Ovis aries: one gene and its partner. The protein of the gene in region 1 interacts with the protein of each later gene in a biochemical or structural test. Links are inferred from orthologs where the notes say so. Each region holds a gene or a part of one and is shown in the gene's direction. Other genes may lie near its edges.

What was found. The genes of interacting proteins can lie anywhere in the genome.
Region 2: the proteins of ITGA2B (region 1) and RNF181 form a complex in vitro, tested with the Homo sapiens proteins (2 studies listed by BioGRID). The link is inferred for Ovis aries from reciprocal best matches to the Homo sapiens genes ITGA2B and RNF181.

Annotation. Positions count from the first base shown.
Region 1 is NC_056064.1:43,919,643-43,926,754, reverse strand, and holds the start of ITGA2B (integrin alpha-IIb), read left to right. Parts: upstream 1-2,658; 5' UTR 2,659-2,690; coding exon 2,691-2,878; intron 2,879-4,373; coding exon 4,374-4,495; intron 4,496-4,585; coding exon 4,586-4,683; intron 4,684-4,789; coding exon 4,790-4,958; intron 4,959-5,234; coding exon 5,235-5,284; intron 5,285-5,361; coding exon 5,362-5,407; intron 5,408-5,500; coding exon 5,501-5,626; intron 5,627-5,997; coding exon 5,998-6,045; intron 6,046-6,193; coding exon 6,194-6,237; intron 6,238-6,349; coding exon 6,350-6,403; intron 6,404-6,525; coding exon 6,526-6,578; intron 6,579-6,779; coding exon 6,780-6,991; intron 6,992-7,112. UniProt on the Homo sapiens protein: Integrin alpha-IIb/beta-3 is a receptor for fibronectin, fibrinogen, plasminogen, prothrombin, thrombospondin and vitronectin. It recognizes the sequence R-G-D in a wide array of ligands.
Region 2 is NC_056056.1:57,438,276-57,444,910, forward strand, and holds RNF181 (E3 ubiquitin-protein ligase RNF181), read left to right. Parts: upstream 1-2,285; 5' UTR 2,286-2,325; coding exon 2,326-2,411; intron 2,412-2,760; exon of another isoform or gene 2,761-2,890; intron 2,891-3,041; coding exon 3,042-3,172; intron 3,173-3,358; coding exon 3,359-3,468; intron 3,469-3,665; coding exon 3,666-3,740; intron 3,741-3,973; coding exon 3,974-4,141; 3' UTR 4,142-4,156; downstream 4,157-6,635. Other genes in the region: TMEM150A (transmembrane protein 150A), read right to left, coding at 5,583-5,824, 6,048-6,225, 6,332-6,635.

The DNA of each region.
Region 1 (7,112 bases):
TAGGCACCATCCATCTGATCTTCCCAGTAAGTCCTGCCTTTTCCAATCCCTTCTATCCATAGGTAACTAGTATGATTCTGATTGGAGCACAGTTGATCATGTATCTTATTCTCTAATTTGTTAGTTAAAAAACCTACGATTCTCCATCTCCTATGGATTAAAGTTCAGATTTCTCAGACATTCAAGGACCTGCAGTGATGCGACCCCAGCCTTCATTCCACCCTCATGCCCCAGTCCTCTCCTGTGTTGACTACTTACCTCTATAACTGAGCTCTGTGTTCTGCTCTCTGTTATTTCCTGTGTTGAAAAACCCCTTCATTCTCTGACAAAAGGCAATATAGTGCAATGGTTAAGAACATGAGTTCAAGCACAAATGTGTTTGACACATAGTTTTTGCCACTCTGTACACTTGGGCTATTTACCTAAAACTCTGTGCCACAGTTTTAGCGTTTCTAAAATGGACATAATAGTAGCTAATTCATTGGGTTGTTATGAAGAAGCGGATAATATAAATGACTTCAGCTAGGCATCACCCCTACCTTTTTCAAGGCATTTACTATTCTGCTGCAGTTATATGTGTTCATGTCATGTCTTAACTCTCTCTGGACTAAGTTTTTTAAGGATCCTTGACAATTGTCTTTGTATCTCTTACCACTCAGTGCCTTGAACAGAATGCTGCTGCTGCTGCTGCTGCTGCTGCTAAGTCGCTTCAGTCGTGTCCGACTCTGCGACCCCATAGACGGCAGCCCACCAGGCTCCCCCGTCCCTGGGATTATCCAGGCAAGAACACTGGAGTGGGTTGCCATTACCTTCTCCAATGCGTGAAAGTGAAGTCGCTCAGTCGTGCCCGACTCTTAGCGACCCCAGGGACTGCAGCCTACCAGGCTTCTCCGTCCATGGGATTTTCCAGGCAAGAGTACTGGAGTGGGGTGCCATTGCCTTCTCCGTGAACAGAATGAGAATTTATTAAAAGCCTTGGTGAAGTGTGAGTTAATCTGGGGCTACACAGGGTACACCAGTAATACAGTTCCACTCAGTTGAGGACAGGGAGGGTGGAAGGTAAGTACAGGACTAAGTATTACGTGCCTGCCGTGAGCTTGGCACTGGGAATTCAGCAGTGAAGGAGGCCCAGACTAAAGTTCAAGGTGCCTCTAACCTAGAAAGGGATAGGATTTTGAGCTATGTGCTCAAAGGAGGTGAATTATGAGGACAAAGGTGGTGCTGAAGGGCCCTGGGGAGTTGGGCGGGATAAGATGATGGTTAAGTTTGATCAGAAAATTTAACAGCCTTGGTAGTCCAGTGGAATCCACCTTGCAATGCAAAGAACTTGGGTTCGATCCCTGGTTGGGAAACTTAAGATCCCACACCGCAACTGCAGAGTCCGTGCACCACAAGGAAAGATGCCAGATGATGCAACTAAGACCCAATGTAGCCAAATAAATAAAATATTTAAAAAGAAAATATGAGCAAAAGCAATGTGACTATGTTCTTTACCCCAGCAGATCTCTTAAATTTCCTTCCTGACAACCTGCTTTTTTGGGAAGACAATGCAGTGCCAGTAAGACTTGCTTGGCACTCCTCTTCCTCTGAACATCCGTTAAAAAATGCCCTTTCTGCTCAAAACTATTCCTTTTCTTTCCTCTGTGGGAGCCTGCATTTGCATCCTCCAGTCCTCAGTGCCTGCTATTATTCAGTCTGTCAGCAATGCCTACGGTATGATGGGCTCTTGGCTAGGTCCTGGGGCACCAGAAAGGACCCTCATTCTCAAGGGACCCGTGAACAAAATCCAGTGAACAGACCATGACAAAGCAGTGTGATCAGTGCCGCACCCCTGTGTGTGAACCCCAGAGTGCCAGCCCGAGGAATTGAGAGTGGCATCTCCTAGGCAATGACCCCACTAGAATCAAGTCTTACTGATTGGACAAGAGCTCTGTCACCCAAGGAGTTAGACCTGCCTTCAACTGAACAGCTGGTGCAAATCTCCAAGCCTGTGAGCCAGAACACCCTGGGATGACTCCACTTTATCCCCATCTCCTCCCTTCAGCCAGGATCCATTCACCACCCCTCCCCCAGCACTGGCTACATTGCTGCGCCACATTAAGACTTGGCCCCAGATGGAGGATGAGCGAGGAAGCTGTTGTGCCAATATGACTGACTGAAGCTGCCAAAGGTCCTAGAAGGAGGAAGTGGATAAGTGCCTTATTCTTTTAAGGATACAGCAGCCTCAGGTCTTATCAGGGGCCAGGAGCTTCCTCGCTCCTTCCCCCACTTCTGACCAAGTCACAGTGTGCCTTGGCAGTGCAGGGAACTGTGTGGGGGGAGGAGGACCTGTAGAACTGGGCTAGAGTGGAGGCGTGTTGCACTATCCCAAGCAGGAAGCAGTGGTGGTTTAGACTAGCATGGTGGTAGAAGAAATGGAATGAAGATTCAAGAGACATTGTTGAAGAGCAGAACCAGCAGGACTTGATAAAATACGTTCAAGAAAAGGGAAGAATTGGCTTTCAGCCATAAGCATCCACCCCCAGGGTAGACTTACCCTCTTCCCAACAACCCTAGAAACCATATGGCCCAGGACTCTGCCTACTAGTCAGCAAGTAGGTTTCAGCTTGATAAGAAAAGACTTCCTGCGGTGGAACTGAAAGGGGAAGCTGCTAACCCATTACTGCCTAGGAGGCTGTGGGAGAAGGAAGATGGCCAGAGCTCTGTGTCTACTTCGTGCCCTCTGGCTTCTGGAGTGGGTGCAGCTGCTCTTGGGACCTGGTGCTGTGCCTCCAACCTGGGCCTTGAACCTGGATTCAGTGCAGCTCACCATCTACACAGGCCCTAATGGCAGCCACTTTGGGTTTTCACTGGACTTCTACAAGAACAGCAATAGGAGGTGAGCCCTGGGAAACTCCCCCACCATCACTGCTTCTGTGGGTCTTGAGTTCCCCATTTGTGATAGAGGTTGAGCAAACTTATTTCCAGGGTCTATTTGGGCTGAGTTCTTGTTAGGAATACCAGGGTGTCAGCAAGAGGCACCAGTGGGGAGCTGAGCAGAGCAAAGACAAAGGGGAGACCGATGTTGATGCCTTATTTTTTCCTCAAGGGTCAGTTTTATGACCCACTCCACCCTCATCCCCTTGAAATACAGAAAGGAGCACATGTCTTAAGTTGACCTGCAGAACTGTGAAATTGTCTGTCTACTCCCACTTTGCTTTCTATTCCAATCCCCTCAACCCAGCAAAACGATTGATATTTGAAAAGAAGCAATAGAGCATTATTGGTTGGGATTCATCAGGCTGCAAATTCAGACTGCTAAAATTAGAGTCCTGGCTCTTTCTCTCTATAGCAACAACCCTGAGCTAGTTCCTTATTGAGATGGACACCAAGGTCCAGCTTCAGAGCATAACAATAGCAGATGAACTTTAAGTGTCAGCACCTTGGGGAGTTGCTTCTGCTGAAGAGGGCCACCTCCCTCAAAGCTCCCCCACTTCCAAATGTGGCCCAGGAACAATGACCAGTCAATGAGGAGTGTGGAGGGAGGGGAGAGGTTAACGGTCTGACTCTTTCAACTCCAGACAGTTCTGAGGGTCTTTCTCCCTCCAAAGTTCCCAGGACATTGACCCATGGCTGTTATTCAGTCCGAATCTCAACTCAATGTCCCCTGCCTGCTCCTGCTTCTTTCTCCTCCTTTTCATAGATACTGGTCTCATGGGCACTACTTAGTAAATATCCTGCAAACTAAAAAGAAAAACAAATTACAGCATTTTTGGAGCCCTCGTTATGTATTATTTGGCTGGCACTGGCATAAATGTTTTTCATGTGTTTATTTCATTTACTTCTGACAGCATTGATTGGTATTGTCCACCTTTTATATACAGTAGAGCTGTCATTTGAACCTAGATCTACTAGAGTCCTTAGAAATGTCAGCACCCCACCACCCACTTTACGGGTGCCCACTAGCTTAATATTTCCTGATTAAAACTGGTTCTCAGAAAGAGATCTGATGACAGTTTAGACAGGAACACGGTGCATGTAAACCCTTGGCTTTTCGTGGCAAGTGTTGGGGAATGTAGACGGTGTACAGAGTTTAGGAGATCTCTTTTAGCAAGGCTGTCAAACCCCTCGTGTTCAAATCGAACCTAATGGTTATATTCTGTTTCATCCTTAATTTCCTCGGTTACTGATGGGTATGTGACTTTCCTCGCTGGGAGTCAGTTTCAGTGGCCATAAAATGAAAAGATTGGCGTCTGTGGTCTGTGTCGTCTCACTGGGAAAAGATCCAGTGACCCTCAAGGCACACCGCCCTTCCGAGGAGTGCTCCCGGCACAGGCACTGGGGCACGGGGTACCCCAGAATCCACGGAGCTCTCACCCAGCTTTCTTATGCAGTGTGTCCATCGTGGTGGGCGCCCCACGGACCCTGGGCCGCAGCGAGGAGGAGACCGGCGGCATTTTCCTGTGCCCCTGGAAGGCCGAGGGTGGCCAGTGCATCTCGCTGCCCTTCAACCTCTGTGAGTCTCGCACAAGAAGAGAAAGGGAGGGGATACAAGGAGCGCGGACAGCCGGGCTTCAGCACCCTACTCTCTTCTTGTGCCCTCCAGATGATGAAACGCAAAGCATAGGCACCCAAACTTTCCAAACCTTCAAGGCCGGGCAAGGACTCGGGGCGTCGGTCGTTAGTTGGAGAGACAGCATTGTGGTGGGCGCTACCGGACCGGGATCAGGGAGCAGACGGAGGGCGGGGACACGTGGAGGGAGGAACCCGAGTCCCGCCCCTTCCCCACTCTCCTCTGGCTCTGCTTCAGGCCTGCGCCCCCTGGCAGCACTGGAACGTCCTAGATAGGAACGAGGAGGAGGCTCAGAAGACCCCCGTAGGTGGCTGCTTCGTGGCTCAGCTCCAAAACGGCGACCGCACAGAGTACTCGCCCTGCCGGGCCAACAAAATGAGCCAGTTTTACGAGAGAAATCATTTCAGTGAGCTCCTCTCTCCGTTTCGGCTCCGCCCACTCGCGGCCGTTATCCACTAGCCCCGCCCTTCACCCGATCATTCCCAAATCCTGCTTGCAGTCTGGGGTCTCCCAGATAGCCTAGTTCCTGACTCCACCCCCATATCCTGCCCACTGGATGTTGATAGTAGACCACGCCTCCGTATTACCCTGTGGCCCCGCCCCCGTTTGACTCCGCCTCCCGGCCCGGCGCCACTCGTCAGAGCAGGCTTCTTCGCTGACCCTTTCTTTTTGCCTTCTCTAGGAGAGGACAGGCGTTACTGCGAAGCCGGCTTCAGCTCGGTAGTCACTCAGGCGAGTAGGGAGCATAAACGGCGTGGGGGTTGCCCCCCAAACAGGGCCCTCTCTCACCTTCAGAGCTTCTATTTCAGGCTGGGGAGCTGGTGCTTGGGGCTCCTGGCGGCTACTATTTCGTAGGTACGTGCCCATCCGTACACCTCCCTCCCTTCTCTCGACCCGGGCACACTCCAGGCTCCTGGACGCCCATACTAACTGTCCCACGTGCCCTAGGTCTCTTGGCGCGGGCTCCAATCGCCGATATCATCTCGAGTTACCGCCCAGGCAACCTTTTGTGGCACGTGCGCACCCAGTTCACCTACGACCACAGTCACTTACAATACTACGACGGCTACCGGGGTAACGTGGCACTTCCCATCGAGGCTTCCCAGCACTCAAGCGTCACCGCCAGCCCTGTCCTACCCCTGTAGGAACGCCCCATTGTCAACTCTGGCTGGCCAGCCCCAGCACTAAGGCGCCCCCACTCTGCTCAGGCAGCTCCCTCTCCCTACCCTCTGCAGACAGCCCAGCTCCCAAAGGCGAGCATGTCGACTTCTCGAGCTGAATTCGCTTCGCGGCCTCGGGCAGGTCTTGACCTCTCGGTGGCCTCGATTTCCCCGTCTCCGCAATGCAGAGTTTGAACTGGGTGGTCTCTGAGTCCCCTCCGTTCTCACTCGGGCCCCTTCCCTGCTTCACCCTCCCTGAAGGACTAATTCTCACTGTGCCTTCAGGGTACTCGGTGGCCGTGGGCGACTTCGACGGAAATCCCAACACTACAGGCAAGAAATTCACTTAGGGGTGGGGTTTGGGGAGTCCCGCCCGGAAAGGAGCACTTCCAAGACCGGCATCTCCCTGGGATGCGGAACGGCGGGCAGGAGGCAGGTGGGGGTTCCAGAGACCTCACTTTCTGGTCCCGACTCTCCCCAGAGTATGTCTTCGGTGCCCCCACCTGGAGTTGGACCCTGGGAGCGGTGAGTGCCGTCTGTCCTCCCCTCACTCATTTCACTCTTCAGCCTGAACCGTGCCCGCCCCCGCCTCCAAACTTCCTGCCCTGTGACATGCTCCTGTACGTTTTCTGAGCAGGTGGAAATTTTGGACTCGTACCACCAGATGCTGCACCGGCTGCATGGAGAGCAGGTGAGGATCAGGTGGGGGTGGCCAAGGCAAGGGAATTGAGACCCTGGAATATTCCACGAGACAGGGTGGGATCAAAGTGTGAGTATGAGGACAGAAATTAAGGTGTGCCCCATTTCCTGCAGATGGCTTCATATTTTGGGCACTCAGTGGCCGTCACGGACGTCAATGGGGATGGGTGAGAAGCCAGGCGCCCCCACTCCTACCCACTTGGGTCCCAAATTACCAGAGGTGTTGACTGCCCTTGGTCTCCAGTCTCTTCCTTTCCCAGCCCTCACTCACACTGAGGGGAGCAGGAGAGCAAGGATGGGTAAGCCTGGGCTCAGGCCCACAGCATCCCTCTAGCCCATCCCCACATAACCACCCGTTGGGCCTGCAGGAGGCATGACCTCTTGGTGGGTGCACCACTGTACATGGAGAGCCGTGCTGACCGCAAGCTGGCCGAGGTGGGGCGTGTGTACTTGTTCCTGCAGACTCGAGGCGCCCGAATGCTGGGGGCCCCCAACCTCCTGCTGACTGGCGCACAGCTCTATGGGCGATTTGGCTCAGCCATTGCACCTCTGGGCGACCTCAACCGGGATGGCTACAACGGTAAGGGAAGAGAGAAGGGGTTTATTTAGCCATGACAAAGATCAGAAGGGATTTATTTAGACATGACAAAGATGGTGGATTTGACCTGAGGGCAGGGGGAGCCAGGAAGGGCTTTGAGCAG
Region 2 (6,635 bases), on another chromosome or scaffold:
ACCTCATGGACTCTAGCTAGGCTCTTCGGTCCATGGGATTTTTTTTCCCCGAAAGAATACTGGAGTGTGTTGCCGTTTCCTATACTAGGGGATCTTTTCCCAACCCAGGGATTGAACCCAAGTCCCCTGCATCTCCTACATTGGCAGGCGGATTCTCTACCACTGGGAAGCCCATACAGATGTAGCAGGTGGCAGGAAAAGGGAAGGGCTTTTTTCTTTGTGATGCCGAAAGGCGCAGAGTCACAAAGGATGGCCTGGAGTTTGCCCTGTGGGAAAGAGCTTTTCAAAGCTCTAGGACTTCACAGGGCTAGGGAGGCAGTGTCTTCAGGACACCAGGAAAGAGCACTGGGTAAAGGCCAAGTAGGAAGGAAAGGTCCTACCAAGAACTGGGAAGCAAGGCAGCCACTGCTTGAGCTACTTAACTGCATCTCAAACTCAAGTGTAGGTGGGAAGAGGAACTCAGGGTCAAGTGTGTAACAGAAGCAGTTCCTTGTTAGGGGGACTGAGGGCTACTGACAAAGAAACAAGAACAGACCCTCCAGTTGTGTGGAGCTGTACCCTCATGGAGCACGTTACTTCCGCTAGGCTCACCACCATCAGCCTTTCCTGGGAAAGATGAGGGAAGCCCCGGGTATTGTGCTTAGGTCTGCAACACTGCTTAGAGGTCCTGTGGAATTGGACTTGGGTTCTTACATATGTAAAAAGCAATAATGATACTTCTTGTTGTTCAGTCACTAAGCTGTAGCCAACTCTTTGCAACCCCATGGACTGCAGCATGCCAGGCCCCACAGTCCTCCACTGTCTCCCAGTGTTTGCCCAAATACATGTTTACTGAGTTGGTGATGCTATCTAACCATCTCATCCTCTGCCACCCTCTTCTCTTCCTCCTGCCTTCAATCTTTCCTAGCATCAGTCTCTTCCAATGAGTCAGCTCTTTGAATCAGGAGGCCAAAGTATTGGAGCTTCAGCAACCAGTCCTTCCAGTGAATATTCAGGGTTGATTTCCTTTAGAACTGACTGGTTTGATCTCCTTGCAGTCCAAGGGACTCTCAAGAGTCTTCTCCAGCACCACAATTCAAAAGCATCAGTTCTTTGGCACTCAGCCTTCTTTAAGGTCCAACTCTCATAGCCATCACAGAAGGCAATGGCAGCCCATTCGTGTTCTTGCCTGGAGAATCCCAGGGACGGGGGAGCCTGGTGGGCTGCTGTCTGTGGGGTCACACAGAGTCGGACACGACTGAAGCGACTTAGCAGCAGCAGCAGCAGCTCATAGCCATACACGACTACTAGAAAAACCATAGCTTTGACTATAATGATACTAGCTCCTGGATAATTGTGAGTATTTATATTTATACCCTGTGTACAACATAAATGGAATGATTCTAGTTGCCAAATAAATGATAGCTAGCAGCCAAATCATTTAGCACACACACACACACACACACACACACACAGAGGCCTAGATCAGTTAAATTTGATCTTTGAGACTAAACAACAGTTGTGTGGAGTTTTTTGTTGTTGTTTTCCCCCTAAAGCTGCAACCTCTCCTTTCTTCCTCCAAGAGGTTCCTGGGTGCCAGAGATGCAAACTACTTATTAAATTCAAGCCACTAATTTTACAGAAGCTAGGGGAAACGCTGAGCAATGGGCTAAAAGATCACACAGACATATAGTTCCCTGAGCTGGTAAGGCCTCTATTCGGGTGGGGGAGTTTACCCCACCTTTTATTATTGTGCCTAACACAGCAGAACTGAATAGGAAAGTTTTATTTGTTTTGCGGGAGTCGAGGCGGCGTCAAGTGTCTAGTCCTGAACTGACTAGAGAGCAGCGGGTGCTGAACCGCCCGGCGAGGATGCGGCAGAGCAGCGAGAAGCCCCGACTCCAGGCTTCCCCAGGCTCGCAGAACCCTGACCCCTGAGTCAGCGCCGCCCTCTTTCTGAGAGGCCTGTAAGATCTGACCTGCCGAGATCCTCTGAGCCGCAGAGCGGATGGAGGACCCCTATAGCTCAAACACTTGGCTTCTCAAGATTATGCGATACGCTCACGTCTCCCAGAAACCTACCCTAGACCGAGGGGTCCAAGAGGACCGTTTTCTGACCCACCTCGGTCCCTGCCATTGGCTTTAGCCCTTGGTCACCTGACTTATTCGAGCCAATGAGAGGTGACAAAATGAATACTTCCTCTTCCTATGTGGCGAAAGAGCCACTGTGCCCGCCTCTTGGGGACTCTGATTGGTTGTCCTCCCTCAACTCGCTAGTTTATTGGCCAGCGCCGCGAGACTGAGGTACGGCCGGGTCTGAGGGCTGTGTCAGACAGCCCGGCTGCCATGGCGTCTTATTTCGATGAACACGACTGCGAGCCGTTGGATCGTGAACGGGATCCCCGAACAAACATGCTGCTGGAGCTTGCAAGGTGGGTGTGTGGGGCTGGGAGGTAGGGCCCACACAGCAGGTGTCTGGGCTGAGGCTGGCTGGAGAACGCGGATTATGTGGGGCAGCAGTTTCTGGGTAAAACGGATAAATAATCTGCAGAGTTAATTCCGCAGTGAGATTCGGGGGGAAGTCGATAATTTCGGTCGTCCTTGGACAGACTAGAGCAAGGGAATTCTGGAAAAAGCGATCTGGAGTGTGGAAGAGGGGGTGTGCGAACTGGAGGGCAGTGGGCTTTAGGAGGTACTGAAGTAGGCGGGTCATGGGAGCAGGGGCCATGTGACTGTGAGTAGGTATATCCGTTAGGCACTTCAAGCACGGAAGCTACACTGCCACTTGGAATTTGGCTTTTTTGGGTCATTCCTGAGTGACCCGAATAATTTCTCTCTCTCGTGTAAAACTGGAATAAATAACCTGCATGCTTGGGGTTGTCTGATGGCCTGGGGTTGTCTGATAGCAGCTGTAAGCCATTTCCCACTGTGCTTTTTTGTCTAGAGCACTACTGAGGGGTAGCTATTAGTATGACTAGTCGGGCAGAGTATTTGTCTGTTAATGTTTAGTGGATTATGGGGGCAAAGATTCTTTGGTTCTGACCTTGCATCCTTCTTCCCAGGTCCCTTTTCAATAGGATGGACTTTGAAGACTTGGGGTTAGTAGTGGATTGGGATCACCACCTGCCTCCACCCGCTGCCAAGACTGCAGTTGAGAACCTTCCCAGGACAGTCATCAGGGGCTCTCAGGCTGGTGAGAACACTAAGTCCTTCCATTGATTCTTTGGGGCAGGTCTGCCAGGCTGACCAACTCTGGAAGCCAGATTACAGTCTGGCCCTTCAGTTTTCCAGGTCAGGCTGGGGCAAGTGTGTCCTTCAGGAGTGGGAGCTAGGAGGTAGGGCCTGTGGCAGCTCTCCTGATTAGCACTCCCTCCTCAAGAGCTCAAGTGCCCCGTGTGTCTTTTGGAATTTGAGGAGGCGGAGACCGCCATTGAGATGCCTTGCCATCACCTCTTCCATTCCAACTGCATTCTGCCCTGGCTGAGCAAGGTACTGTTTCCTTTCTCCCAGCCCTCACCCTGCCTTGGGCCTAGTCCTCAAGCCTCCTCTTTCTGTTGATGGACCTTTGGGGTGGGGTGTGGGATCAGAGATGGGAGAGGGGTAAGGGTAGGGAATTGGGAGCTGGGGATGGTTGTTTTGAGCTTATGAAAACCAGACGGGCTGGTACACTGCACTGCTTTTCTCAGACCAATTCCTGCCCTCTGTGCCGCCATGAGCTGCCCACTGATGATGACACTTATGAGGAGCACAAGCGAGATAAGGTAGGGGGCTGGGCAAGTGGAGGGGGTGGTCACAGGGCTCCCTGAGTCCCTGTTCCTGATGCCATCATTCCCCACCTTAGGAGGCCTGAGTAGGCTCACAGTCCATGAGTCTGGCCACCTTCCCAGTGACTGTGGTGAGGGGCAAGGGCCTTGGCAATGTTCCTGCCCAAATGTTAGGGGCCTGAAAACAGTGAGCCAGCCCCACGATGGCTGCCCTATCCCTTCACCCACAGGCCTTTGGGGATGGCCCCCGACCAGTGTGCACTCTTTGCTTCAGGCTCGCAAGCAGCAGCAGAAGCACCGCCTCGAGAACCTCCACGGAGCCATGTACACATGAGGCGGCTAGGGCTGGACACTGGTCCTCTGCAACATGTTCCTCTTGCATCTCAAGCTCTCATTAAAGGTTTCTTCACTCATCCTGCTGCTGCATTGCTCTCAGGCCTGGGAAGGGGCTCTGTACCCTCCACTGGGTCTCTACTGGGATGGGGTCCTAAGCCGTGGAAGGTCCCAGGCTGGGTATCCCTCCCTACCAAGCCTGCTGGCCCGAGGATAATAGGGCCTAGGTCAAGAACCTGGCTACCAGACCAGCCACAGCCTGGGCCTACATGTCTGTGGTTGGAAGACAAAATGTGTCAGGCAGGGCACCTAGTAGTGACTTAAAAATGGTAACCAAAAACTAGCCAACATTTCTCCCTCCCCACTGCAATCTTTAGTCAGTGTTAGAATCCCCAGGGCTTTCTTTAGCTTCATTGCTGATTGCTTCTAACATTTTCAAGTTATTCTCTGTACCCCGTCCTTCATCATATCCCTTAAGTGTGGAATCAGTCTTCAAGCCAGACAATTGAGCAGGGTGAAAAAAAGTGAAAGTGTTAGTTGCTCAGTCATATCTGACTCTGCGACCCCATGGACTACAGCCCACCAGGTTCCTCTGTCCATGAATTCTCTAGGCAAGAATACTAGAGTGGGTAGCCATTCCCTTCTCCAGGGGATCTTTCCAGTCCGGGGATCGAACTGGGGTCTCCTGCACTGCAGGCAGATTCTTTACCATCTGAGCCACTAGGGAAGCCCCTGAGCAGGGTAGGAAGTGTGAAATAATCAGCTCAGCTCTTCAGACTGTTTAGAGGCCCAGAAAGGGCTTCAGGCCCTTCAGGGGTGCTTGGATAGCACTTGGCATCCTTTGTTCTTGGCAGCTTTGCTCTCAGTTGGGCACTCAGGACCCTCCCTGTGGGCAGGGGCTTTCTCCCATCCTTTGTCCAGGGGAAGCTGTTCTGCATTAAGGCCCTCTTCCTTTCTTCAGAACAGACTACAAACATGCAAATTAGAATTCTTTTAATAGATATATATATTAAAAAAAGTACTAAAATACCCACGTGGTTCTGCTGTGTTATTTGCCCTAAAGAAAGGGGCAGAGTGAAGAATCCCAGTGCAGTTCAGTGGGCCCATAGGGGGCCTTCCCATAGACTAAGGAGTGCTCACCCCCACCCCCGAGACTGGTAGCCCTCTCGCTGTTCCCAGCCCCCAATTCCTGCAGCAGGAAACCCCAGTGGTCCAGCCTTGGCACTGAGGGAGTAGAAGGCACCTGAAGGGGTGGCTGGGTGAATGACATGTGACCTTTAAAACAAAGATAACACTGCAGTGTGGGGAGTGGGCTGTGTGGCTTGGGCAGCCTGCCAAGAGGCCCGCTCCTCTATGGCACAGGTGTGGGACGGCCCCTCCTCCAGGAGCGAGGCAGCCTGTTTCCCAACAGAATACTTTTCGCAAAATTGGGTTTTTTTGGTACAAAAGAAATGCAAAGGAGATGCGGGGAGCTGCGGAGGCAGGGCCAGCCACCCTCCCCAGACCTCAGATCATGGCGACGCTCTCAGGGCTACAGTTGAGGTGGGTGGAGGTGCTGCTGCTCCCGGAGGACTTGCAGGCCCGGCCGGGGGTGGGCTGCAGCGCGGCCACCAGTGTGTCCGAGGAGACCGCCCCGAACTCGTAGCTGAAGGTGCCGTAGAAGATGAGAATGTCAATGACGAACACCCACTCACACAGGGCTGCCCCATGCTGCAGCTGAGAGCTCTCATGGATGAAGAAGACCCCACCTGGGAGAGGGCTAAGGAAACGTCCGGAAGGAGGTATGGGAGCCTGGTGACACCCTTCCTGGATACAGGCTGGGGCAGAGGACCAAGTCTCACCTCCCAGGAGTAGGGGGCAGAAGACCAGACTGGGCAGGGGTGTCTGTTCCCCCCTACCCCCCAGCATCCTGGGTGGTAGAGGGTCTGGGCTACAGGAGGAGTTCTTGGCCACCCCATCCTGGAAGGATACTGAGGATCAGAGTGACAAAGGCGATGGTTGCCAGCACAATCCGCAGGTAGGCCACAGCCAGGTCCTGGGGGGCCGTGGCCCCGTGGTAGGAGAGGGCACAGTGCAGGCAAACGAAGAGCAGGCCGGCAGTGAAGGCCACACCGGTTCCGACATAGTGCAGAGACTTAGCGTGGTCCACCTGGGCCCGGAGAGCAAGCACGTATCAGCCCCTCCTCCACCCCTTCATCCCCCGCCCACCTCGCTGTCCCTCTAGAGGAAGCTGAAAGGCCGGCAGGCGGGCGTACCTGGAAGTTTCCCACCACCACCAGACCCGCAGCATTGGTGCAGCCTGTGATGAGCGTCGTAGTGTTGACCCAGGAATGACGGCTCTGCTCCAGGAGCTGCCCATAGCGCAGGAGGCAGATCAGGGCCACTGGGGGAGGAGAGCACAGCAGGGGCCGGCTCTGGCGCCTTCTCTGGCCCCGATCCAGCCCAGCTAGCTTTCCCCAGATGCTCTGAGGGCCGGAAGAGAATGGACAGGCAGGGGGTGTTCTATACCAGGGTGGCGGTGTGGGAGTCAGCCTTGGGCCTTCATGGAATGCAAGTGAA